Solanum lycopersicum: one gene and its partners. The protein of the gene in region 2 binds, or shares a complex with, the protein of the main gene of each other region. Links are inferred from orthologs where the notes say so. Each region holds a gene or a part of one and is shown on either strand. Other genes may lie near its edges.

What was found.
Region 1: mediator of RNA polymerase II transcription subunit 27 (region 2) and mediator of RNA polymerase II transcription subunit 8 share a complex: the UniProt entries of both Arabidopsis thaliana proteins name them as parts of the mediator complex. The link is inferred for Solanum lycopersicum from reciprocal best matches to the Arabidopsis thaliana genes AT3G09180 and MED8.
Region 3: mediator of RNA polymerase II transcription subunit 27 (region 2) and mediator of RNA polymerase II transcription subunit 15a share a complex: the UniProt entries of both Arabidopsis thaliana proteins name them as parts of the mediator complex. The link is inferred for Solanum lycopersicum from reciprocal best matches to the Arabidopsis thaliana genes AT3G09180 and NRB4.
Region 4: mediator of RNA polymerase II transcription subunit 27 (region 2) and mediator of RNA polymerase II transcription subunit 32 share a complex: the UniProt entries of both Arabidopsis thaliana proteins name them as parts of the mediator complex. The link is inferred for Solanum lycopersicum from reciprocal best matches to the Arabidopsis thaliana genes AT3G09180 and MED32.
Region 5: mediator of RNA polymerase II transcription subunit 27 (region 2) and mediator of RNA polymerase II transcription subunit 14 share a complex: the UniProt entries of both Arabidopsis thaliana proteins name them as parts of the mediator complex. The link is inferred for Solanum lycopersicum from reciprocal best matches to the Arabidopsis thaliana genes AT3G09180 and SWP.
Region 6: mediator of RNA polymerase II transcription subunit 27 (region 2) and MED18 share a complex: the UniProt entries of both Arabidopsis thaliana proteins name them as parts of the mediator complex. The link is inferred for Solanum lycopersicum from reciprocal best matches to the Arabidopsis thaliana genes AT3G09180 and AT2G22370.
Region 7: mediator of RNA polymerase II transcription subunit 27 (region 2) and mediator of RNA polymerase II transcription subunit 11 share a complex: the UniProt entries of both Arabidopsis thaliana proteins name them as parts of the mediator complex. The link is inferred for Solanum lycopersicum from reciprocal best matches to the Arabidopsis thaliana genes AT3G09180 and AT3G01435.

What each region holds. Positions count from the first base shown.
Region 1 is NC_090802.1:67,519,684-67,523,183, forward strand, and holds part of mediator of RNA polymerase II transcription subunit 8, read left to right. Parts: intron 1-766; coding exon 767-976; intron 977-3,038; coding exon 3,039-3,092; intron 3,093-3,500. UniProt on the Arabidopsis thaliana protein: Component of the Mediator complex, a coactivator involved in the regulated transcription of nearly all RNA polymerase II-dependent genes.
Region 2 is NC_090800.1:77,933,198-77,936,178, forward strand, and holds the end of mediator of RNA polymerase II transcription subunit 27, read left to right. Parts: intron 1-1,004; 5' UTR 1,005-1,065; coding exon 1,066-2,301; 3' UTR 2,302-2,481; downstream 2,482-2,981. UniProt on the Arabidopsis thaliana protein: Component of the Mediator complex, a coactivator involved in the regulated transcription of nearly all RNA polymerase II-dependent genes.
Region 3 is NC_090803.1:3,498,766-3,502,265, reverse strand, and holds part of mediator of RNA polymerase II transcription subunit 15a, read right to left. Parts: intron 3,222-3,500; coding exon 3,147-3,221; intron 2,699-3,146; coding exon 1,382-2,698; intron 1,295-1,381; coding exon 959-1,294; intron 1-958. UniProt on the Arabidopsis thaliana protein: Component of the Mediator complex, a coactivator involved in the regulated transcription of nearly all RNA polymerase II-dependent genes.
Region 4 is NC_090807.1:64,223,280-64,226,902, forward strand, and holds mediator of RNA polymerase II transcription subunit 32, read right to left. Parts: upstream 2,445-3,623; 5' UTR 2,299-2,444; intron 2,297-2,298; exon of another isoform or gene 2,168-2,296; intron 1,914-2,167; 5' UTR 1,871-1,913; coding exon 1,430-1,870; intron 884-1,429; exon of another isoform or gene 868-883; 3' UTR 501-867; downstream 1-500. UniProt on the Arabidopsis thaliana protein: Component of the Mediator complex, a coactivator involved in the regulated transcription of nearly all RNA polymerase II-dependent genes.
Region 5 is NC_090800.1:84,078,038-84,082,121, forward strand, and holds the start of mediator of RNA polymerase II transcription subunit 14, read right to left. Parts: upstream 2,801-4,084; 5' UTR 2,477-2,800; coding exon 2,267-2,476; intron 66-2,266; coding exon 1-65. UniProt on the Arabidopsis thaliana protein: Component of the Mediator complex, a coactivator involved in the regulated transcription of nearly all RNA polymerase II-dependent genes.
Region 6 is NC_090805.1:1,888,056-1,892,222, reverse strand, and holds the start of MED18 (mediator of RNA polymerase II transcription subunit 18), read left to right. Parts: upstream 1-1,367; 5' UTR 1,368-1,761; intron 1,762-1,941; exon of another isoform or gene 1,942-2,015; intron 2,016-2,751; 5' UTR 2,752-2,773; coding exon 2,774-2,809; intron 2,810-2,975; coding exon 2,976-3,075; intron 3,076-4,167. Other genes in the region: ZNHIT (zinc finger HIT-type containing protein), read right to left, coding at 558-631. UniProt on the Arabidopsis thaliana protein: Component of the Mediator complex, a coactivator involved in the regulated transcription of nearly all RNA polymerase II-dependent genes.
Region 7 is NC_090803.1:5,625,740-5,629,676, forward strand, and holds the start of mediator of RNA polymerase II transcription subunit 11, read right to left. Parts: upstream 2,801-3,937; 5' UTR 2,485-2,800; exon of another isoform or gene 2,480-2,484; intron 1,192-2,479; 5' UTR 1,177-1,191; coding exon 1,123-1,176; intron 145-1,122; coding exon 28-144; intron 1-27. UniProt on the Arabidopsis thaliana protein: Component of the Mediator complex, a coactivator involved in the regulated transcription of nearly all RNA polymerase II-dependent genes.

The DNA of each region.
Region 1 (3,500 bases), on a different chromosome or scaffold from region 2:
GCTCCTGATCAACCTACAGGATTCCCAACTTCTCCAATAGGTAGGAATTTTATCTCATTTCTTCATCTACCAAGGAGAATTAGGTCCATTTCACCAATTAAAAAAGAAAATTGGGACCATTTCCCCGTAAAATTGAAGAGCAAAAAGTGCACTGCTTGCACTGATCTCTTTAAACTTGTTATGGTTCATCTCTCCTTATTTAGCATTCAGACAATTCATGAGGAGGAAGAAGCTCAGATTAGTTAGTAACACATGCACACTGGCTGTTTGTATATACGACATGCGTAAATATCCAATTCAGATTCTTTTCAAAGGGCACTTTACTCCAGGATTGCACATATTTTCCAAAGAGTATGAACTTGTTAATCTTTTAAACAAAATGAGGACAATTATTGATTTTCTGCTACTTTTTTGGGTTTCATTTTTGGTTTTGGAAAAGCTTTGTAGATGACACAGAATCTTTACTTGACATAATTGATACTTTGTAAGATAAAAGAGTTGATTTTCTGAACTGTAAATGTGGCTGCAGCACAGCCTTTATGCTGATATGAATACAACATTACAGTTTTCTCAAAATTAATGAACATTGATTTTCAGCACTTTCAATATGCTTACCTTACCATGAATGACTTCTTCAAACATGAACATAATTATTATTCTATTTGGTGTATAATATATTAGTTTCTGTTGTTCATTTTATTGGGGAGTAAGTAATTGCTAATGAACCTGCTTTTATCAAACGGTGACCAATAAACCTGTTTATTAGCTGCATGGTCAGCCACAGATGCAGTTCTCTCAGCCACTGGGAGCACAGCAGTTTCAAGGTAGGCAGCTACCATCTGGTGCCCTTCATCACGGTATGGGTCAAAGTCAGCTCAACCAAGGAAATCAGCTGAATCGACATTTAAACCAGTTTTCTAGTCCTATGAATACTGCACTATTCAATTCTGCCCAAAGCACACCTAGCTCTCAGATGGTGAGTCAAATATATCAGTTTTTATGTTATTTCCTTCTTCAGTTCAGCCTATCCACAATGACTTACTCATTTTGCCCGAGAATTTTAAGTTCAAAATCTCTAGTTCTGCTGTTTTCTGCCTCTATAAATTAATTTGGGATATTCTGGTTACATCTGAAGAATGCAAGTTATTTATCTCATGCATTGAACTGATATTTCACATACTGAAAATTTCTGGGATCTTTGAAGCTGATAGTTCTAACTAAATGTTTGTTGCATTGTATGTACTGAACCTGTTAGAACCAAAAGTTCTAGAAAATTTTCATCTCTATTTGGTTCCAACTCATAGTTTGTCCATTAGTTTATTTTCCCCTGAAGGCACTCAATGTTGTATAGCACAGGATATGAAGTTATAGATCACATGGCGTGCTGTGTATGTAGTCCTCCCCTATGACATAGATATTAACTAACTTGGTTTACATGTTAATGCAATGCTCATCTGGTCACAGAAATGGTCGTTTCCGTGTCAACAACAACATAACCTAGTGTAAATCCATAAGTGGGGTCTGGAGAGGGTGGTGTGTAAGCAGTCTTACCCCTACCTTGGGAAGGTAGAGAGACTGTTTCCGATAGACCCTCAGCTAAAATAAAGCATATCTGGTCTTTTCTGTGTCAAGCTTCATTGTGTCTTTTGATTATTAGCTGTTTATTATTTTACTAGTTTCTGACAACGTGCGTTGCACGTTTATTCTTTACTATTGTTATATAATTTAAAATTGTGCTATCAAATAGAAAATATTTAAATCAACAATATTAATTTTACCAATTATATTTCATGTATCAACAAAAATAAATAAAAAGGGATTGCACATTTGGCATCAAGCAAAAAGTATGTAAAATTAATTAACATAATATAGTCTCCTTTAACTTTGTATAAGTCTTTTTTATGATCTAAATATCAGTGATAACATTTTATAGCCATAAATGGATATTAAAAATACATGCACACTTATTGATAAGATTGCCTATTTTATTTTAATGAGAAACGATAGAGTGAAATATTTATATTATTTAAGTAAGGTTCTAAAATTAAAAGACAGTACTATCAAAATTATACAAGATAAACACTGAATCTCATACATACATCTATTTCAAAAGCTCATAATAATAGCTAAAAGATTACATTACCACAATGAGTTTATTAGAAATGCAAAAGATATTAGAAACAACAATAATCTTCGTGATGGAGAATATATATCGAAAGAGATATGAGGAGTTAGGCATGTCTAAAAAGAAGTCTTCAAGTTCTTCTCCCACCTCATGTATTCTATTTTTTCATGTCTTTTTCGCCAATCATAGATGGAATAGTTTTTTGATTATCAGTTGAATGACAATTTCTTTCATTTTTCAATGTTATCACCTAGTTCTTAAATAGTAGTAAAAATGTCTGTTTAAATTCTATATTTTTCAGTTCTAAATAATAGTCTTTAATATATAGATAGATGGAAAGATGAAAAATACAAATCATAGACTTAATAAGAGAATTAACATTACCACTAATAATTATTACTTTGAACTTGGAATCTAATCTAGTTTGAATGAATAATTAAAAAGATGAAAAACACAAATCATTTTAATTAGTAATAAATGAGGCAGTTACAAGTCATCTCAATAATTTATTACTAATTCATTCATATATAATAACACACTTTTAATATCATAGTAATAATAAATAAAATAACTAAAATCAATGGCATTAATCGGATAAATGGGGGGTCACTTTTTTCATATGCCAATAATTATTTTAGGATATACATGTACAATTAAAATATGTCTTTTCACATTCCAAACATTTAATTATTTACTTATATTTTAATTAAGAATTAATTTAAGGAAATGCAAAAGTCGTCTACATTTTTATTAAAATGATACAAGTTAACATTTAAACTAAATAATTAAATGCTTTCTGCCATTAAAATATGTGCATCATAATTTCTAAATTTATCGAGCATTCTTTTCTTGAACTTAAAATTCCAAATGTCCAGTCTGCTTCGAATTATGTTAAACTTATTCTATATGGCAGATCTCAAATATGTCAGCAATGGTGCCATCACAAACTCTTCTGCCACGAATGCAGGTGTGTCAAATTGTATTTCCTATTGTTGTTGTCATGCATGCTGGAAGTTATTATTTGGTCAATAATTATAATTCACGACAAGGTGAACTGAGTGCCTTCTCTGGAGTGGAGAAAGTGACCCGATGTCTTCATTTAGCTTCAAAGGGAGGGAGTTCATTTTGTTTTCTGTTTGACAGTTAATTGAAATTTTCTATTTTATTGGCATTATACACATCAAATATTTTCTGTTTTGATATCTGTCTTGACTGTGAATTTGGTTTAAATTGATGGGAGGCTATAGCTATATGTGTGAACATGCGGACACAAATTACATGTGGTCCTTCAACATGTGGACACAACTTACATGTGGACATACACGCTTAGACATAATTAGTAGCCAAGGAATTTGGTTCAGCTTACATTTCTTGA
Region 2 (2,981 bases):
TGAAAGCATTGGAACTTCAAAGTCATTATTCCCATCCCCCATCCCCCATTCCTACCTTTTCTTGATAGAAGAGGGAAATCCACTACCTGTCACTTAAACTATATATATGCACTTAACAGACTTTGCTGTGCTTGCATGTCAAGATGGATAGATCACATCGAAACCCCTAAAGTCTGAAAAAAAATGATGACAGAAAATATTGAGTGATGGTTTCTTATATCCAATTGTCCTACAAAATTTTTCTGTTGAATATATTCCTCCTTCAATGTGGAAAAGGAGGTTATAATCACACGTACATCCTCTTAGTGTGTCGCTGTATAATTTTGTGAAATATGGAATAGCTGTAGAGACTCTTCTCTTTTTTTCAATTTGTGGGTCCTTTGTTCATACAATACAATTGGACAAAAAAGGAATGCAAAAAATACCAAGTGATTGTTTGTTGTATCCTGTTGTCCTACAGCATATGAGTGATGAACAGTCTCCTTCTTTAGAGTGGAAAAGGAGGCTACAGTTACTCAGACAACCTCTTTACATGTTGCTATAATTATCTATATGGAATAGCTGTAAAAATCCTTTGCCCCCTCATTCTGGGGGTATATTGTCCGAGCTGTACAGTTGGACAAAAAATACAGAGTGATTGTTTGCTGTATCAAGTTGTCCTATAAAGTTGAGTGATGAACGGTCTCCTTCTTCAAAGTGGAAAAGGAGGCTACAATCATTCGTACGTCCTCTTAGCTTGAGGTTCTGGTTCATTTTTGCTTTCCTTCGCTACTTTATGTACTTGTTCCTTGTTTTATGGGGTTCTTGGTAGGATTTTAATTCTGAAGCACGATAGTAGATATCACTTGCATGTTTAAAGCTAGGTGATGTCAAAATGAGTTTGTTGAGGTGACCGTTGAGACTTTGGAAATATGATGTGATGAATTGTTGTTATTGAACCGTCTTTTATGGTTACTGGTTGAGGTGGACTCTCACTCAGTTCTTTTTTCCAAAAATGAAAACAGCACCTCATCCACGGAGCATAATTGCCAATAATAAAACCTCCCAAGGTTCAGACTTGCATAAATGCAGCAATCAACACTATCATCACACACGTCGGCGGTACAAGGAGCTTCAGCTGCGGAGTCCAATGAGATGAGTGGAGATGCGCCGCCAAAGCAGGTGGCAATGGCACTGGAGCGACTGGGGCAGGCGAGTCGACTCATAGCTGATATTAGAATTGGCGCAGATCGGCTGTTGGAAGCCCTATTTGTGTCAGCTCAGCGGCAACACTCTTCTAAACCTTTGCATCTTATCCACAAAGAAGAAGCTTCCATGAGACAACACCTTCAAGAGCTTCGCTCTGTTGGAAGACAGTTAGAAGATTCTGGTGTCCTCAATGATTCCCTCCGATCACGAAGTAATTCATGGGGCCTCCACATGCCTTTGGTTTGTCCTGATGGTGCTGTTGTTGCATATGCATGGAAGAGACAACTTGCTGGTCAGGCTGGTGCATCTGCAGTTGATAGGACCAGGTTAGCTCTCAAGGCCTTCAATGGTCAGAAAAGACGATTTTTCCCCCACCTTGATACCAATTATGGTGGGGAGGGTGTGACAAAGAAACTTCGTGGTCCTCCATCAAGTGATCAAGAAGAAACTTGTGAACTGAAATCAGTGTCTGAAGTTTTGACACATCTGAAAAAGGAGGTCTCAAATGTAATAACATTCTCTTACCGGCGTTTGGATTGGTTGTTGCGAGCTACCTCATTGCCCTCTTCGACCAGTGAAAATTCTATTGAATTATCAAAAGAGAGTACTTTCCAAAGCACGAGAACATTAAGACAAGGATCATCTGATGATGATGTTTCAGACAAGGTTGCTATAATCGAATTGTTGATTCCTTCTGTTTTTAGAGCCATAGCATCAGTTTCCCCTGCTGGTTCCTTGGATCCCGACGCTGTAGCATTCTTCTCGCCAAACGAGGGTGGTAGCTACATTCATGCGAGGGGATTCTCCGTTCATCATGTATTTAGGCACATCACGGAGCATGCTGCTATGGCTTTACAGCATTTTACAGGTGTTGGTACTGAGTCACCCTTGCTTTCTTTGCTGCTGTGGGTTTGCAGCTATCAGACTTTGTTCTCGAAAGCTTGCAGCAAGTGTAGCCGTCTACTATCAATGGACAAAGAGTCTGCCATGCTACTGCCCCCTGTTAATCGCCCTTACCGAAACTTTTCTGCTGGAAAATTCTTGTCAAAAGAGGAGCCAAGTGTGGATTCTAGTCAGTGTTTTCACATCGACTGCTTTTCTGAGGAAGCATAGAAAAATCAGCTCCATTGTACAAAGAAATTCCGAACCTATAATGTAGTATGTGGCCTGAGAGTGGTTGGTTAACGAAGTTTCTTTGGATTGTATTTGTTACACCAAACTTTAGATTAGTTACGTTTAACTTTCTTTTTGAGGTCTTTAAAATCCTACTAAATCAATGACAATTTTATACAAGTGATCTTTTCTGAAGTCACTAACGAAGGTTAGTTAACAGAGAGTCATTTATTTTGTTGTTTTATTTCCAAAAGATCGAAACAAACTTTTTTTGGGGTATGATTAATTTATTTATGCTCTGCTTTAATTCATGCAATCTAAAGCTGTTGGTTTTTTTAGCCTTTCTAGATTGGTCTAATCATTAATGGAATTTAAAATAGGAGAATTTGAATAACAATTAACAAGTCTTATTTTCCTCTGTTTGATATGCCTTTACATCTTTTTCAATTATAATGCTAATGGACATACAGTAAATATTCGATAAATTAATAATCTCTATAAAATAATGTTTTTCTCTTGTCTCGACTTAGATCAATGGATTGAAATCATCAATTTCGATAAGATAATGAAATAATATATTTCTAGAAGACCTTTATATAAATATGTGGTTCCATTAATATCATAAATTAATAATTCTTTACAAGATCAAATACATCTAAGAAAATTTAGTGAAATATGAT
Region 3 (3,500 bases), on a different chromosome or scaffold from region 2:
CATTGTTTATAGTAACACAAAAAAGGTAGGGTGAATCCAGGCATAAAAAAAAACCCAATATGAAAATGCAAGGACCAAGTGTTTTGGGTCAATCTAAATGCTAAAGAGCCTAGCAATAAATTGAGGAGCAGTTGGGAATTCAAGTCAAAATAGTTCATAGATAGGGTTTTAGTTCACCACTAGAATATATTCACACGCTAGTTGCTACAAAAGGGATAATATTGAAACCATATAGAAAGAAGGCGTATTTTTATTGTTTCCGTATAGATTTGTACTGAGTGCTGCTCAGGCACAGTAAGGCTGAGGGACACTTAAGAGCCGGGAAGTTTGTGGTAGGGATTGGGCATTATCATATGTTGAATAAGTAGACACTGAATGACAGTCTGGTACAAAGACTGAGCAGCCAATTGAAAGTCTCAGGTTGCATATAGCATTCAATAAAATGCATTTGTCTTTATTCTAGACAGTCGTCTTATACTTAGTTCAGATTATTTAGACATACTCACAAGCTGAAAGAGTACTAAAGAAGTAAAACTCATGTCTCGTTCACATAAAGTAATGTTTGATTTTTCCATACAATATTCTATCATAGCCATCAAAGTTTTCAGAACAGAACTATAAGTGGTAGTTTGGGGTTGATGATGTTCCAGTTGCAGAAACATAATCAATAAAAATGAAAGAGCAGGCACAAGGAATGATTGTTAAAAACCACTCTGAGTCGAGTTTCAGTTTGCATGCAAGCTGAAACTTCAAGAAATATTCCACCATATTGCATTTGGTCATTCTACTCTCTCTCTAGCAGTCATGGACAAAGATCAGTTTTTACTTTTTTAACTCTAAAATGCACCTGAATGGACCTCCTTTTTCTTTTAAGAACCAATATAGTCTACCACGGAGCTCTCATGTTTGGACGTGCAGTTTTGTACTTTTATCCTGTAAGTAGGCAGCAGAAAATTACCTCTATTTTAGGTCTTTTGGCATTGGATGTTGCTGTTGACTCTAACTCAGGTGTTTCAGAATAATTCACCTGCCAGAAACTATCATTCAAACTGCTGCTTGACGACACAACGTTGGAAGTTGTATATCGCTTCATTTTCTTTGTTCCTGTAGGTCCATCCTGCGTAAAGTAGTTTCTCGCTTGGAGACGACATTTGGTCATGGCAACCAAATCTTCGCCAACAGCTGCTCTTGACCCATTTCCTGGAGCAGATCCTGCTATTCTATCATTCATACTGACAACTGAATAGATGTCTTGAACTGACGACTGCAATGCTTTGTCAGACATGTTTTTAACCTGAATGTAATAAACAAGTCAAATCAATGAAGACAGATTATTGGGATTAGTGAAGATACAAATTAAGTAGAATGGTATAATACAAACCGCTCTCATCAAGCGATCCAATGGTTGTTCAACACTTGACCTGCCAGGAACAGCAGCTGAGACATTGGCATGTGTACCATCTAGAGGAGTAAACTCAGCAAGCAAAGGTGAGGCTGATATCCCAGGAGTACCAATTGCAAGGGATTGGGCAGGTGCAGAAGCAACAGTAGCTTGCTGATGCATTATATTTCCAGCAGTGGTATGTGATCCAAGGCCAGCACCAACTTTTTCAGAATCTCCCGGCATTGGAGATGGAGCCAAGGGAGTTGAAGGAGAAGGGACAACAAACGGTGAGCTTGCGGATTGGAGAGGAGTCCCAGCTTTTGTAAGAGACGCCAACATATTTTGTTGGTCAATTTGTGGAGAAGGATGTTGGGTAACCTGAGGAGACAGTGCTTGATGGAGTTGAGGTGAAGATATTCCTGGCTTCAATTGGGGATGATGAGATCCAACACGCTGGCCAACTGACTGTTGCTGTAAAACTCCTGGTTTTATCCCCATTTGCTGCCTTATCTTTAGGTCATTAGCATCAGTCATCTGTTGAAGCTGAGACATCTGGTGGGTTGGCAACAGCGTGGTCTGCTGTTGCTTCGCTTGCTGCTGTTGTATTATCTGCTGTCTTTGAAAAAGTTGCTGCTGCATATGCCTATGGTGGTATTGCTGTCTTAATTGCTGGTTCTGCAACATTTGCTGCTCGTGCTGCTTAGGAAGTGACTGTTGCAGGGCGTTTGAATTTTGCTGTAGGGAACCGAGGTTTGCCTGTACGGGGTTTGTTCCACTTTGTGAGCTTAATGAGCTCATGTTAACTTGTTGAGGACTGTTAACAGGATTCTGTTGTAAAGAGCCAGTAGCCACCTGCTGCAGTGAGTTCAATGAATTACCCTGTCCCAAATCCACAGTGGAACCAGGCTGTACTGTATTTATCATGTGCTGCTGGGAGTTGGAAATTGTCGGTACACCAGACAAGGTATTATGTTGCAAGTTGGTGAGATTATTCTGAGGCATTGCTGCCATGGAACCCTGTGAGGGTTGCATCGACGGATTAGATTGACCATCAAGAGATGGTGGTTGCTGAAGCTGCATGGAAGACTGAGGAAGCTGTCCCTGCAGTGGAGAAGAAGAAGGCTTGCTGCGCGGCCTATTGGAACTAAGAAAGAAACTTATGTGCTTCTCAACCGAAGCCAACTTTTCCTTGTGAGAAAGTTGAATATCCTGCTTGTTAAGCCGCAAGAAAAGCACAATGCGTTCCAGCGTGATCTTGAACATCTTGAGCTTTTCAATTTGCTCATTTTGAGGACGCTGAGGAAGAGAATCATGCTTAAAATCAGGAAAAAAAAATCAGTTTAGTCAAAGTCTTGTTTCTTGCCCTTTGCAAACTTTTAAAATTCATGCTTCAAGTACACCTCCCTCCCACAGCAAAGAAAAAGGGAGAAAAACTTAAAACCAACATAAAGAGACAAATAACATAGTGGCCAGGTGCCCAATTCAACAGAATGCTGACTTAAGCGCTCTTAAAATTTAGACAAATCAAGCCCTTGCCCGAAGAATTAGGGAGGCCTTGAACCCTTCCCCAAGGGAACATAAAAGTGGCATCTACATCACAGTATTCACCTAGATATGTGTAAATAGCTCATTTTATGGTGTCCTCCACCTCTACTTTACAATCATACACAACGCTTCAACACAGGCAAACATGCTGCACCATACATAGCTAGTAGAATTGCTCCAAAAATGATAAGAATGGATTAAAATGTTGATGACATACCTGTTGCACTTTAGAAGCAATTTTGTGGTATAGATCATTGAGCTCTGCTAAGTACGACTCCTTCATAGACTTTATCTGCATTAAAAATTTGCATCAGCTCAGAATTGCGCAAATGTCAAGACTGCATTCCCATATGGAGAGGTAATAATTAGATCAACTTTCCGATACAGTAGAGAACAAACTAGAGAATCCTCATGAAAGAACCTTCCAGATAAAAAGTTAAAAGTGAAGTGGAAGCGGAAGACTAAAACTCATTAAAGAATCCATTTTGCATGATTCAACATGTGAATGAAAAAATAAACAACTGAACTTTGCTTCCTTCAGCTTCTTGGTACACGTTTCTGCTCGGTGCTA
Region 4 (3,623 bases), on a different chromosome or scaffold from region 2:
CAAAAGATGCTCTTAAGCATTGTATGTTGCCTCAAAACCCATTTCTTCTTGGGTCTGCATAAAATTAATGAAAAGAGCGTTGTTTTTTCTGATATATATAGCTTTATAGAGTAGCCTCTGCTTGTCATCCCTTCAGACGATTCTCAATAACCATCAGAACTTTTACATCATAGATCTCTCATTTACTAGTATTAGTTTGCGTTATTGGACAAAGACGTTTCCAAGTGCAGTGACAAGTGAGAACTTCTGTTTTCAAAGTTATTATACAGTACAACTAAATATTAGACTGAGATAAGGTTAAATGGAGCGACATGGATACTGAGCATTTGTGTAGCAATCAAGATGTAGTTGTAAGCTAAAGCGTATTTACTAATACTGCTACACTCAAAGCGTCATAATACTCTGTTGCAACAATTCCAGAGGTCTCCAAAGCCTACTGAATGAGTTCATCAGGGTTAACACAATTAACTAAAAAGCCACTTTACAAGATTGGAGATATATTTCCTAACAAAAATCGATTATAAACATAAATACTCGAGAATATAAGGTACACATAGCAGACACAAACATACAGCCTGTTTGTATATGTTGGTATGCTTAAGATCTAAATAAAGCTAACAGTGCAGTAGCTCATACTGCGATAAAAGTAAATCTCTGTGCCTAGAAAACACAAATGTAAATTTGCCAGATCTTCTCATAAGATGGCGAGGGAGGGAGGCGGTAAAGGTGGTTTACAAATATCATTCCAAAGTATTTCTTCTACATCGTTACAACATGACTTCATACATCAAACATCAACTTTAGCGGCTTACTAAGGCACATAAGATCTTCTGTTTCTCTCTGCTGATCACCAGACTCTGTAGTTACCTGAAAACAGTCACAACTAATAGTTCTTTGTTTTACAGCGATGAAAACAGAATAAAACGAAACCAATTTTTTTTTTCTAGTTTCCATTTGTCTGTCAGAAGTGTTGGGTCAAACTCAGCTTAATAAGTAAGGATAGTACATAATTGATCATAAAAAAAGAAGTTGGGTCAAACTTAGCTTAATAAGTAAGGATAGTATTCTTCATAAATAAAGTAAGGATAGTACATATAACATAATTGCTGCAGAAACTAGTGGTTACTCACAGTTATTCGTTCTGATGGAAGAGAACATATGATGCCACTAAAAAGCAGTTTTGTTAGCTTCTACTACTTTTCTATCAACCTGGAAATTTATACAAGACCAGCGGTTTTGTAATAGCAGCTCTTATATATGAATCAGTTTCAGTTCCAAGGGAATGTTCACTTATTTGCTTCATCATCAAGTCTAGGATACAAAGCCTATCACTAATAGTTCATTAAATAATACAAATTTGTTTCCAGATTATTTAACATAGTCAACGGAAACGACAAGGACAGGAAGTATCAGCGAGATTTCAGTATACCTATTGAGCTGCATCTTCAGAAAATCTGGCATCAAATGGAGCAGAAGGATTGGGATGTACTGCTGAAGCACTATTCGCTCCAGAACCATGTTGCAGTTCTATCACTAGCCATCTTACAGCTTTACTCATCTGCTCCAACCTAACAGCACTAATGGGTTGAAGGCCACTTGCAGCTGGTTGCCCAGGCTTCCCTGAAACAGTGCCTGTAGCCTCATCCACAAGACACTCGGAGCCAATTCTTTGCTTAACCGATTCCACAAACTCCTCCGCCTGATCACACGCAACCCTGAACAACTCCCACTTTTGCTTAAAGTTTTCTAATGCAGCATCAGTTGCTGCTGTTTTCTGACCATTAGAACTCTCCTTTGATTCAAGTACAACAGCTGATGCTGCAACAAAGTCTTGATATGCACTGCTCAGTGCATCTACGAGATTATCCATCACAACCCCTCGAAGCCCTAATTGATCACTAACCTCCGTAAATCTATAAAGGAGAGAATAAATTAGCAAGAACATCATTAAAAATTTAATCTTTGTATCAAGACCATCATTAAAAATTGAATCTTTATAGCAACAACATCATTAAAATTGAATCTTTAGCAAGACCATCACTAAAAATTGAATCTTTGTAGTAATTTCATCATTAAAAATTGAATCTTTGTACAACAATTAAAGAGCTATTATGCTATCAAATTCTGCATACAAAAACAAACCCAAGAAACAATTTTCTATGATTACCCAAAACACTCAAAAGCAAGAAATCAACTGAAACAAAATTGATGCAATACACAAATTTCTTGAAAATACTCAAATAAATTTAAGCAAATGAAAAGAAGAAAAACCACAAAGACTAGGGTTTTTCTACTTACTTGACTGAAGGAAGAAAATGGCTTCCACAATCTTCTCCTCTGTCTTTTTTTGGTTTTTTTCTCTTCTCCCCTCACTCTGTTTCGAAATAATTACATATTCCTCCCCAATAGTTTTCATTTGTAACACAAAGCTTCCCTTTAGTTTCAAAATTAATATTTTAGAGTGTAAGATTTTTAAAATATATTTGAATAAAATCATAATTGAGTAATAATTGTTTGAGTTTCTAATAATTATTTATATATATACGAGTGCTATTTTATTGGACTAAAGGAGTAGTATTATTTATGTATCTTAATTTTTATTTTATTTGTATTTTCATCATTAGTATTATATATTAAGTGTTCTATGTACATTAAAATGAGACATATATTTTTTTTCATTTGTTAGTGTTATATATTATTGATGAGTAATTATATTATATGTGATGAATAAAATTAATTTTACATTAATGTTTAAATTAAATATTTTGTTTAATTGCTCAAACTTGTCAAATTCATCGGTGACCTCCTAAACTTGCTATCGATTTTCACTTAGAACACCTAAATTAGGCGATGTTCATTTTAGACACCTCGTGTAGGGTTCTGTTGTGTCATTTTGGCACTTTTTGCTGACATGTCAAAGTGAGTGTGATACACTTAACAATAGCGCGTGAAAGACTTAATTTAGCCATTTTTAATTTTATTTTATCTTCTTCTTCTCCAAGCCACCACCCCCTTTTTTTTCGAATTTAAATTCCTTCAATGGAGGTCAAATTTTTTATTCAAATTCGTTGTTAAGTCATTTTCTTCTTCATCATTGTATTACTTATCTAAGTCTATCTTCACCTCACTCTATTTTTTGCCGGAAAAATGGATACCAACACCCATATTTCATGTTTATTCTCTCCCTCCTTTCTTTTTTTAAAGAAAAACAATACTAAAAAGAAGAATAAATATGAAAAATAGTAAAAGAAAATAATATTTTTTTGTAAAGCACAAAAGAGATTTGAGTGTAATGAAATAAGAAATTTTCGTAGAATAATATTTTAAATTTTTTTACTAAATAGATTTTATAATTATTTTTAACTGAAAATAATACATGTAATTATTTAATTGATTGTTTGCCACGTCATCAACGAGTGTATTACACATTTACACTCTCCTTTAGTTTTTTATTTATTGTCAGAAAAGTATCAAAATGACACAGTTGAACCTTACATGGGGTGTTTAAAATGAACATCGCCTGATTGAGGTATCTAAGTGAAAATTGGTGCCAAGTTTAGGGGCCATCGATGGATTTGACCTAACATTTTTCATACGCATACAATATCACATAAGACCAACTT
Region 5 (4,084 bases), about 6.1 Mb from region 2:
GTGAAACATGTATCATGACTAGATAAAGTGGATGCAAGCTGCTGACTGTATTGTATCAACGGGACCTGCAAACCAGATAATTGTGTTGGTACTTTAAATACGGAGTTTGAACTGCAGTTTCTACGAGATCAATGATAAAGAATATAGGGCCAACCGTTGATTCTAAGGGTCCAGGAAGATTTGACAACCATATTTCTACTCACCTAGATACTGAATATAATACAAGTGTATCTTTCCTTCCAGAAAAAGACAGATGAAGAAATGAAGACATGAAAGGGAGAAGAAAGACATGAAGACAAACCTTGTACATAGCATTACCAACATATACCTCGAAAGAGTTTATTAAATCAAAGATTAAAGGTTCAAATGATGCTACAGAAAGTTGTTTGAAGCAAGATCTACAGGAAACTCATAGCTCTTTTGGTGTGACAGCAGTTCCATTGTTCCCACCCCACCCTATTTCTTTTACACATACTCTTTCTCCCAAGATTAGAAATGGGATAAGTCCTACTGTTCCTGGTTTGTCCTTCCTTTCCATGTTTTTGGCGTAATTGTTAGGTGACAAAGATCCAGTAGTTTTAGAGCGTGAAGAGTGATTGTGATTCTTTGAATTAGGTGGAGTGTGTGCTGTGTAAAATTATGTGCATATGTCCAGAAATATTGAGGTCTTTTAGTGGTGTTCATTGGCATCAATGGAGAAGAGGAGTTCACAGTGGTGGTTTTTTTTTGTCAAAACGTGACCAAAAATGGTCATCAATTTATTATAATTAAAAACATAGTGCAAAACAAGTTGGTCCAGAACAAAACAAAATAAAATAAAATAAAATAAAATAAACCCAAATTGTTAATTGCCCAAAGAGCAAAATTGTTCAGCTTTTTGTATATTGGAAACCTCTTCATCTTCTCCCTTCTTCAACGAACTGATCGCCAGATTGCTCATCTTCTCTACCATCTCATCAGAAAATGACAGTCTTCACGGTGGTTTAAGTGGTGGACAGAGGCGTTGCTGAAAAAAAAAGGTGATCGAAAGTTGTGAATGATGAAAATTTCGAGGAGAATGGAGGTCTTTAATTTTTTTGGGAAGTGGTTACCGATAAAGATGGAAAGTTATGGTGGTATATCAGATGTAAGAAATGGAAAGAGGTGGTCAAGGGATAGAGACGGTGAGGGAGAAATGGAGTGAATAAGGAAAAAAATTGAAAACTTCAAAATAAAGTTAAAAATAAATGACATGTCATTAAAAATCTGAAGGGTCAAAGGGGTTTAGAAGATTGTGTTTCATTGAGTCTAAAAGTTCAGTCGACAAAGTCGTGAATAGAAGGGCTTTGTTGGAGGTCTCAAGTTCGAAACACCTTGCATGTGAAAGCAAGGGGGTTTGCCTTCTGAGTCGCCTGGTGCGGGTTACCTCTCCTATGTGGTTTGCGAGCTATTGCATAGGAGTGGGGTTTTACCCTATGTGCACCCAAAAGGCAGCGGCTCCAGGTTTCCCTTGTCATAAAAAAAAAGGCGAGAATAGAAGGGTCTAATCGACAATCCGATTCAAATACAAGGGTCTCTTGGATCATTCCGCCTTTCATCAAATAAGCTGTTGGTACAACTTGAACAGAGCATCGTACAATCTTAAAACCTTTGAAGTTGTCCTCAACTTTTGTTTTCTTTTGGCAATTGTCCTCGACATTCACTATAACTAGAACTTCCACCCTAACTATCTGATTTTAAGTTTTAAATTACTCCTCGTGGTCCATCTTTTCCCAATTCCTAAAACAACATCCACCCTACTCATTTCACGGCTACCTTTCTAATCTTAATCAAGATCCATTTTTCTCCATTCCAACTCACAAATTTCACAAAAACAAATACATGACCAATATACATTCTGTCACTACTCTCTCAATGCATCAATAAAGAAAGAGAAAATCCTCTCCTTTTCCTCTTTCCAATTCACAAATCCTGAAACAAAAGAAACCCTAGAAGTCGAAAACTACTCTTCGCACCCCTCAACAAAGAAGAAAGAAGGCACACTTCTTATAACCCTTAAAGAACTCAAACATAGAATCCCCATCTGCCTAAGCCTGGAAAGAAAATTTTCCCCGTACCTATGCCGGTGGGAGGTAACGGGTACCTTTGGATTAATAAAGGGGGTCACAAATTGGGAAAAACACATCATTATATCTAAAAAATTAAAAAAAGATAGTGTTCAATCTTGAATGCATCAACATACATAATGAGAGAGGGAGTGAATAGATTAAAAAAAAAAGAAAACAACCTGCTGGCACCATTTGGATAGGACATTGAGACGAAGCATACGCTGCTGAGTCTTAACTACATATTTAAGAATCCCAATTTTCTTCTCAGAATCAGATAAGTTAGACGACTTGCACTTCTCCACCAATTCCTTCAACGTAACATACGACTCCTCAGCTGCTCTGCTTACCAGTGCCGAGAAATCCACCGTCTGCTGCCCTAATTCCGCCATCTCCGCAAAACCCTCCGATTAAATTACTCCGACGATCCCGAATTCCTACTAATACAATGCCATTTAATGAAAATTGACCGCCCAAACAATCAATTACTATTAGGGTTTGTAAAAATTGTGGAATTTGAAACAAAATATGAATCTCCGACCTGTAGAGAGAGTGAATGAAGCGAGTGTTGTTCTATTTTTTTTTTCCCTTTTTGATAGATCGGATGTCTGAAGGTAACGCGTAACGGCGGAAGGGAGAGGGTGTGCAAAATTGGAATATGGTACTACTAGTCGGAGAGAAGTCAAAACTAATATAAAACCTCTAAAGTTCTATTTGACCAAGTTTATAAAAATTCATCTCCTTAAATCATGTTGATTTAGAAAAAAATATAATATTTAGAAAGTTTCCATATAAAAATATTTATTAAGTGTGCGAAAAAATATTTTTATTGCGTTTTTTGATATACCTTTCAAAGTATGTGAAGCCTAAATATTGTTTGAGCTTATCTGTTGAGCGGTAAGAACTTATCTATTATTTTATTTTTTCTTTAAAACGGTGTTTAACAATCATTCATTTATTATTCATCTGTGACCTGAATTATTCTTCATGAAACTTAAATTTCTTGATTTACGCGTCTAATAAATCATTGCGAATTTACTTCTGGTATACTTGTTTAAAAAATTATCACGTAATAGTGAAATCTAATTATTATAGTCATAGTATTCGCCCACTTGTTTGTCCAGGTCCAGAGATGAACATGTCCTCGTAGTCCCTTATTACTCCGCCCCAGTTTCAGAATTCTCTTTCAAGAAATTACACATTTCTTGATTTTCTTAAAGTGATGATGGCTTCGTCTATTTGATAATTATATGCACCGTTACATTATTTATTCGTCAAAAAGTTTTAACTATTATTTTCAAATATTGTTTCACTACAAATTTTCAAGCTTTAAACTGGTTATTTTCACATTAATGAAGAAGATCAACATCTCTGAATATATGGAGTTTCATTCTCATGTTTGGAGGCATACCTTAACCTCAAAAACTATCACGTAATTAAAATTAAATAATGCATTGAGGTATAATGATGAAGGGAGATTCCGTCAATTTCATTATGAGATATATGACACTTATGCAATCAAACGCTTTAGCATAAATTCAAATTAGTTTCGTTTATAGGATCACTCTTTTCATTCTCTCATTTTTTATAGTGTGTTTTAATAGCTTGATGTCTGTATCTTAAATATCACATTTATTTTATACAACTAGATCATCATAGTCCATATATATTATTTGGACATTTTCAATAACCTAAAATTTAGGTTTGTGTATTGGACGGATCAGATGGATAGTTATGCTTAATTATTTGGCTTGTCGGATATTGATTTTTAAATAGACTGATCCACTAGCCAACTAATAAGGTAATGGTTCATTTAATGTCGGATTGGTAATTAAGGAATGGTGCATTGGCTCAATTGTTTCATGCTTTCTTTTTCACTTTCACCCACTAATATATCAATCTTCGATCAAACAAAATATTTTTTAGCTCTACTTAAGCAGATAAATGATAATTCTTTAATTATACATAATGAGAAATATTTGAAAAACTAAATTTTGAGG
Region 6 (4,167 bases), on a different chromosome or scaffold from region 2:
ATAACAAACAGCTAATAATTCTAACCAGCTACCTAACACACCTAAGGTTCTTTGCGACAAATTTATGTATAAAAATATGCACTTTAGAAATCCGCATATAACTAATACAAATATAAGTTATGAGAAAAATTTGTGTATTTATTCTATGCCTGACATAAGATAGATAACTGACAGTTGCATAATTCTAACCGGCTCCCAAACGACACCTAAGGTTCTTTGCAATGATTTCAATGTATAAAAGTCCGCAATTTAGAAAGCTACATGACTAATACATATATAAGCTACGAAGAAATTTATATATTATTTTATGCCGGACATAAAAAATAACTGCATAATTCTAACTAGTTACCAAACGAAACCTAAGTTTCTTATCAACAAATTCATATCTCTATTTGCTACAATTATGATGTTTTTCTACATATAAAAATTTTTACTCTGAATTTTGTATGAATAATCTATATCCATTCCCCTTCAGTTTAAACTAAAAACAAACTCAAAACCCAGAATTAAAATTCAAATAAATTTCAAAGAATGAAAAAAGATGGAAATATAATTACAAGGGGATGAAGCAATTGGGACACTTGTATCTCGACTGTGCTTCATCACATACTTGACATTTTTTCGATCCCATTATTTCTTCTTCTTCTTCGTTATCGAGGTTTTAGGGTTTTTTCTGGAAGAGGTGGAATGTAAAATTGCAATATTGGTCCCTGAATTTTGAGTTTAGATTCAATCGGGTTCTTACAATTTTATCAAATTATACTTTGAGTCGCTTAATTAATTATGGGCCTAAACTCGAATTCGGGTCCAAAATTTTCAAACCATTTTCTCTTCTGCTAAGTACCACTTTTCTCTAATAATTCTACGAGATACTCGTCACTTTCTATAATAATCATTTTTCGTAAAAGGAATCAAATCATTTTATTCATTTATATAGAAAGAATTTTGCAATAATTAATTTTCGTAAAAAGTATCAAATTATTTTATCCATTCATATAGAAAGAATTTCGTGTTATCAATTTTCGTAAAAGGTATCAAAATCATTTTATCAAAGAATTTCGTAATAATCAATTTTTCGTATAAGGTATCAAATTATTTTATCCATTCCTATAGAAAGAATCCATTAATATTTTTTAATTAATTATATAAGATACTAATCAAATTTTCGTAACAGACATTTATCCACTCGTATGAAAAGAATCCGCTAATATTTTCAATTGATTCTACGAGATACTTGTCACTTTTCGCAATAGGTATTATTCCAACCCTATGTCTTGAGTTTCGACTTTTTTGATATTTTCGACCACTTCATTGAGCACTAAATCACCATATTATCTCTGTTACTGCTAATTGTTTTGGTTTCTCTCAGCCATAGCTTGCATTACTAAACCTTAATTTTACAATTGATCGTAGAAACATATTTTTCTTGCTAGAAAAAATCTCTCTTTGGCTCGTTTTTACTGTTGATTTTTTGTTATGTGATTAATTGGACCTTGTTTGATGTAGAAACCTAGATTTTTTTGTTACAATTGGACCTTGTTTGATGTAGAAAACTGGATTTTTTGTTACAATTGGACCTTGTTTGATATAGAAACCTAGATTTCTAGCTAGAATTTTTTTTTCTTTGGCTCGTTGTTATCGTTGATTTTTTGTTATGTGATTAATTTAGGTCTGCCTGTTTAAGCTTTCGAACTATTTTTTTTAATTGAATTTTTGCAGCTCAGATTGGGGGAAAAAGTGAGATTGCTTCAACTGTTCAAGGTAATTCTTTCAATTTTTTGCTCTGATGTTTTATGTTTAGTTCTACAATGCTAAATGATTGTGTTTTATATGTCATACAATAGTGTGTATAGATGATAAAATTTGGAGTTTGATGTAGAAACTTTGAAAAAACAGATGTATAACAATAAAGATATGTTAAACAAAGATCAAATTGTACAGGCACTAGAAAAATCATATTTTGATGCCAAAATAGTCGAAAAAAACCAAAGGCAACATATACCATATAGTCCAAGGTATTGTCTTTTCTTCACCCATTCTTCTCCTTTTCCATTTTCTCTTTCTTTCCTCCATTTTTGTAGTCATTCGTTGTTTTTGCTGAGCACATGCTCCATCATATAACAATGACAACAACATACCTTGTGAAATCCCACAAGTGGACTATGGGGAGGATAGAATGTATATATGTTGTTGTACGTATGTAGAAAATATTTGCCAAACAGGAGTTAAGCTATGTGTCCAAGTGACTAATTTTCCACATGAAAAGAATCACCCATGGTGGAGTGACTTCATTGATAAAACTTGATACCATTCCAGCACTACTACCTATTTCTTTGAAGAAACTTAGTAAAACTTAAGGTTGTTTGGTCATAGCCTAATGAAAGGAGCAAGTTTGACAGTTTTTGGTGCATATTGGATCATTAGAAGTTTCATGCTTAAAATCTTGGTGAGAATTTGGGTGTACCAAAAGACAAGTAATGACCAAATGCTTAAATTTCTAATTATGGATGGAAAAGGCAATAATTGAAGACCACCCCAAAATAGGGGCAATCCGGGCAAAAACTTTAAGCCTCAATCCAAAACTAAATTCATATTAAGATCCATTAATCTTCAAGCAATGCACTTCTCATACAAAGAGTGTCAACTTTGTTATGATTTTGGTTAGGTGTTAGCTTTTTCGTTGTTACTCTTCTGTTAAACTTAATATCTTTTTGGTTCATAGGTATGTTCTAAAGAGTTCTTTGCATGTAGGTTTGAATAAATTGAAGTGCGAATGGAGTGTGTGGTTCAGGGAATTATTGAGACTCAAGTAAGTTCCTGGAGTAATGATAAAACCTCCCCCTATTTCTCGTTTTTTTCTTATTCAATCTTTTAGAAGGTATGCTACTTGTAAAAGGTATACTACGGCATTTACTGAAACAGTTTTTGGCAATTGATTATTGAAAAGATCTTGACAGTGCTAATCATACTTGCAGCATGTCGAGGCCCTGGAAATTCTGCTTCAAGGGCTTTGTGGTGTACATAAACAAAGCTTAAGGATTCATGAACTGTGCCTTAAAAGTGTCCCTAACCTAGGTAAGTGTATTTTCTCTTTGAACTATTATGGAACTAGGAACTAACCCAATGGTCATGTATGTACTGATGTGGCTGAGGCAAATGCTCACAACCATCTATGCATTCGTAGGGAGGTTTTCTCACCTTTGAGTTTGTACATAGCTGATAATTTTTTTATGGTCCATCTTATTCTAGTTGTACTGTGGTGCTGCATGTCAATTATTGAATGGAATTAGGTTCAAGTATGATTCACTTTCAGTACATCTAATTTATAGGTCGAGACCACATGGTTTTTGCTCATTCACTTGTTGACTGTTGAGTGCCTTGTTTTCAACAAAGTGTTGCCTATCATGGTTTTGTCGATGATACAGATGTGATTCTCTGCGATGATGTACATGTGATTCTTTGACATGTTGATGAGGGTAACGTCGGAGTATTAAAACAATGCTTGTTTCCTGTTAAAGATAGTATGGCAGATGTTGATCCCACAAGGATTGAGTTTCTGCTATCCTAATTAGTGTTGCTCAATTACTATTCGAGTAATCAGATAAGCAGGCGGAATGTTTTTGACTAAAATGAAATATAAATAAGAGTTCTATGACATGAATGATGGTGAAAGAGTATCCATCAGTTCATTAAACGAGTTGAATATAGACTTTTTTGTTCTAATCAGAAGGAGTTGAATCTAGACTTCACTTATGATTAGTGTATGGTGTTCACTGTCCACCAATCAATATTGATCTCTAAGTTATAAGTGCCTCTCTCTATTACACTCAACATTGATTATTCCTCTCGCTTGTAGTAATATCTAAGGAAATAGAAAACCTTAAATTCAGAGCACCTTCAGCTAATCACCTTCCAAATCACTGGTGTATATCTCGATTACATCTAACTACTATAACCTTCTTGGCTAAGTGTATTTCTTTTTATTATAATAGTCAAGGTATTATTATACCTTAAATATGGAAGACGGTTGATTAATTAACCTTGGCTCCCACAAATATATGTTGACCCCTTGTGGTTGTCTACGCATTTGTCATATCATCATCACAATTCATAAAGTATGTTGAAGACTGATTTCTCCTCTTGGTTAGACAAGGAAAAAAAGCAAAC
Region 7 (3,937 bases), on a different chromosome or scaffold from region 2:
GTGCAAAGAAGTAAAGTATGTCCTTACCTTGATTAGTTGCATGAACTCACTACAATGGTTGTTAATAAGCTCCTTCCTGGGGCCGCTCGGATTTGCCATTTCATCCATTACACCTCCTGCTAGCTCCAGAACTCTGACTATCCTCTGCAAGCATCAGAGGAAGATACAGCAACAGAAGGTATGAGAGTAATGTTTCAGTTACAATTTTTTCTATCAAGAAAAGTGATTACTGACTCCGCATTGAAAGTTATGATCGTGATTTACTCATCAAATTACGATTAGTTGCCTTTGCACTTGACATGCTATATCATCTCCACGTTTTTAATCTGAAGAAACCAATGACTAGGAAACAACAGAGATGCTGTTTCCGTTAGACCAGAGAAAACTCGTGTCAGTAGATATTCAGGGCATATGACAGGACGATCTCGAATACGATTTGATTTCCAACTGTTGAAGATCAGCCTGGAGTTTGTGGAAGATACTCAATGAGCCAGACAGGAAGAAAGCAACCAACAGAAGCAGAAGTTTGAAAAGCCCTTTCAGATCCTATTCTCGGTCCACAGCGTCTTTGATTTATTCATCATTGTCGTCATCTCAACACTATTCCCATCTTCATTCTCTGACTTCGAATTATATTATTTTGGCTGATTTGAGGATGGGTTGAGTTGGGTTGGGTCAGCCCATTTTGACAGTTAGGTGGGTGACATGAAATTCTTAGTCATGGTTATCTAGCCAAGCGGCTCTTGTTCTCATTCATTTCATTTGTCCGGTTGTCCCAGAAATTGAAGGATCCGGAACTCCAGAAGGCTTAGGAGAGCTCAATGGTGGAGTCCCTTACCGAGGCATAACACCATCCATATATCTTCAAGCTTGTCTATGTGTTTCACCCAATCAACGAAATATGGATTTCACCTAAATTCAAAAAGTACTCTCCTCGCTCTCTTTCTTTCTTGAAACATTTTGGTATACAGGATAGGGGAACAAGTAACAAGGACTCGGGCAAGGAAGGAATAATATTGTAGTATCAATTCTGAAATCAGAACATTAAGTATTTTGATGACAAAGAATAGCAGCTACTGAAATCAACCCATCTTAAGTCAATAATCCTGTAGAAACATTTACCTTCTCAACATTTTGCAGCCGCTGCAATGAAGTATTCTGGCTTTGCGAATCCATGTATTCTGAGGGAAGCTGTCAGGACAGGAGAAAAAGATTACTGAATTGCAATGCCGTAGAGCGATCTAGATGTGGAGAAATAAACAGAATCTATAAAACCTGATTATGTGCAGTTTTCAGAGATTTTGGTTCTGAGATCTTTGCAGTCAAATAATTAAACAATCAGAAACCTAAATCCTCTGTAATCAATCCGAAAACAGAAGAAAAACTTACATCTAATAAGTATTATGTCCATTAAACTTACCACCCTACTACACTCTTTCAAGGTACGGGTTTGGCCGAAATCAACAACTTTTCTCTGAACTCTATATTTGTCTTAAGAAATCTATTTAATATGTATAAATTATTAATTTATAAGAGATTATTTTATCCTGCGTGTAGTTGGCAAGATGCAGGATAACAATCTCATGCGATATGTTCTAAAATGTTGAGATTGGCTATTCCATATAGAAGTTGGATAGCTGATCCCACGAGAGAAATCCTTGTCTATTCCATCCCCCATACCGAACGATCAAGGACTAGAACACTGAACCCGTAAACTTCAAATCCTAGCTCCGCCTTTACCCCCAAGACCTGCTGATTATCAAACGAGCAATCCTAACATTTCACCGTCTTCCTCTAGCATTTCTGCAAAGGGGCTATTTCCTTCGACACTCAAACCCATTGCCAGACTTGATTAATCACCCCTTACTGTTCAAATGGAATCATTTCGTTTTTTGCAATTTTCTAATTGTTCAATAGTCTTATAAATTTGAATTCAATTTTTCAAATTCTATCTCGGAGTAGCCATTCACTCAACTCCGAATGAGCTCTTTCGAATCGTTCAATAGCCCTGAACCTGAGATCTGCAGTTTATTAAACAAGCAACCAGTGATAGTCTTATGTTTCTTCGCTGTTCCAAATTTGTCCTACACTCTCAAAACCTCACTAATTTCATATTCCACTTACTTCATTAACTCTTTGTCATCTTCTCTCTTCTCCATTTTTTGGAGGAATTCATCACTCATATCTCTGACTGCAGCGGCTCAACCCTAAAGCCAGCCACTAAAGCAAGCAGTGGATTTAGGACCCAAAAAAATAAGGTCCTCAAATTACAAATCCCTGAAGCTCCGAAAGAACCAAAAAGCCCCAAATTCAGCTCAAATGCACAACGATATTTCATATCATGCATGAGTGAAACAAAGCTCAGATACAAATACAAATACATATAAGACGCACAGGCACGAAATATTTTTCTTATTATTAAAAAAGGAGCCAGCGAGATGTCTGATATCGGCATCTACAAGTGAGAAGTCAATCATACCTTACCTTCAACGGCGGCTATGAGTGGCAGAAGAACGGCAGTCACCGGTGGTCGGAGATAGTCTCAGCTCCGAGTTGTTGCCTGTAATTTTTATTTTTTATTTTTATCATACAAGCATGTAATTGAATAAACATATTGCTTAAATTAACGCATATTTTTTTTAAAAAAAAACATTTTTTCAATTTTTTATTTGTTTAATATGTTATAAAGGTTTTAAAAAAGATATAGCAAACAAAAAATTCAACATAGTGTGAAATTAGGTCTTAGGCGTAACTCACACCCCAAAAGCTAGCTCAAAAGGAAACTCACACCTCAAAAGCTAGCTCAAAGGGTGGAGGATTGCTCAAGCCTTATAAGGAGTTCACTCATCTCATTAATCACCGATGTGGGACTTTTTGTCATTCTTTAACACATAGAAACTATATAATTCTCTATACATATACAGTTGAAGCAAATTGTATAAAATGAAGTGTATAAAACAAAAAATAGAAAGACACTTGGGCAGAGAACTGTATAAAAACGAAGCGTATAAAGCAAATTGCATTATTATAAGTGTATAGAACGATTATATAAAATTTGAATTTGTATAAAATGAGAAAGAGAAAGACAAAAAAGACTTGACAAGGAATATACAATTGAATAGAATTGTATAAAACGAGAAAGAGAGAAATTAGATACAATTTGAGAATTGTATAAAACGAGAAAGAGAGAAAGACAAAAGAAATTGGGCAGGGTGGTATTTTTATTGTATAATTATAATTGTATAGGACGAAAATATATGTACTTGCATGTGTATATACAATTTTCTCATGCTTTATACAAACAGAAACGCAATTTATACATTTCGCTTTTGTTTGTATAAGTGAGAAAGGCGAGGGTGGCGAGCGAGATTTGGGAGAGTGGCGAGCGAGACCTGGAAGAGGGGAGAGAGAGGAACAAAAATATATGTATTTATACAATTTTCTCTGCTTTATACAATTAGAAACAATTTTTATACACTTGTGTTTGTGTAAAAAGTGAGGAAGCGAGTGAGAGATTGGAGGAGAGTGGCGAACGAGATTTTTGGGATAGAGGCGCCTGACAATTTTTTTGCAAACGTTTACTATGAAGCATAATTAAATCAAACCCTACCTACTCTATTTATTTTAGGTTATTAGTTTGCTATATACAATTTTCCCTTTAAAAATACATTTGCTGATTAAATGAATATATACTAATCTAAAAACTATTTATTTTCAAAAACGTTTTCTTAAAACAAGTTTTTTAAAAAAACTTTTTAGCAAATTCATTTGAAAAGTGTTTTTATAAGCAATATGTGTTTGACTAATTTTTTTAAAAAGTGTTTTTATAAGCAATTTGTGTTTGAATAATTTTTTTAAAAAGTGTTTTTGAAAGTCAAATTACGAAAAAAAACAAATATCGATGTGCTTTTAATATTAAAATTATTTTATAGAGAGA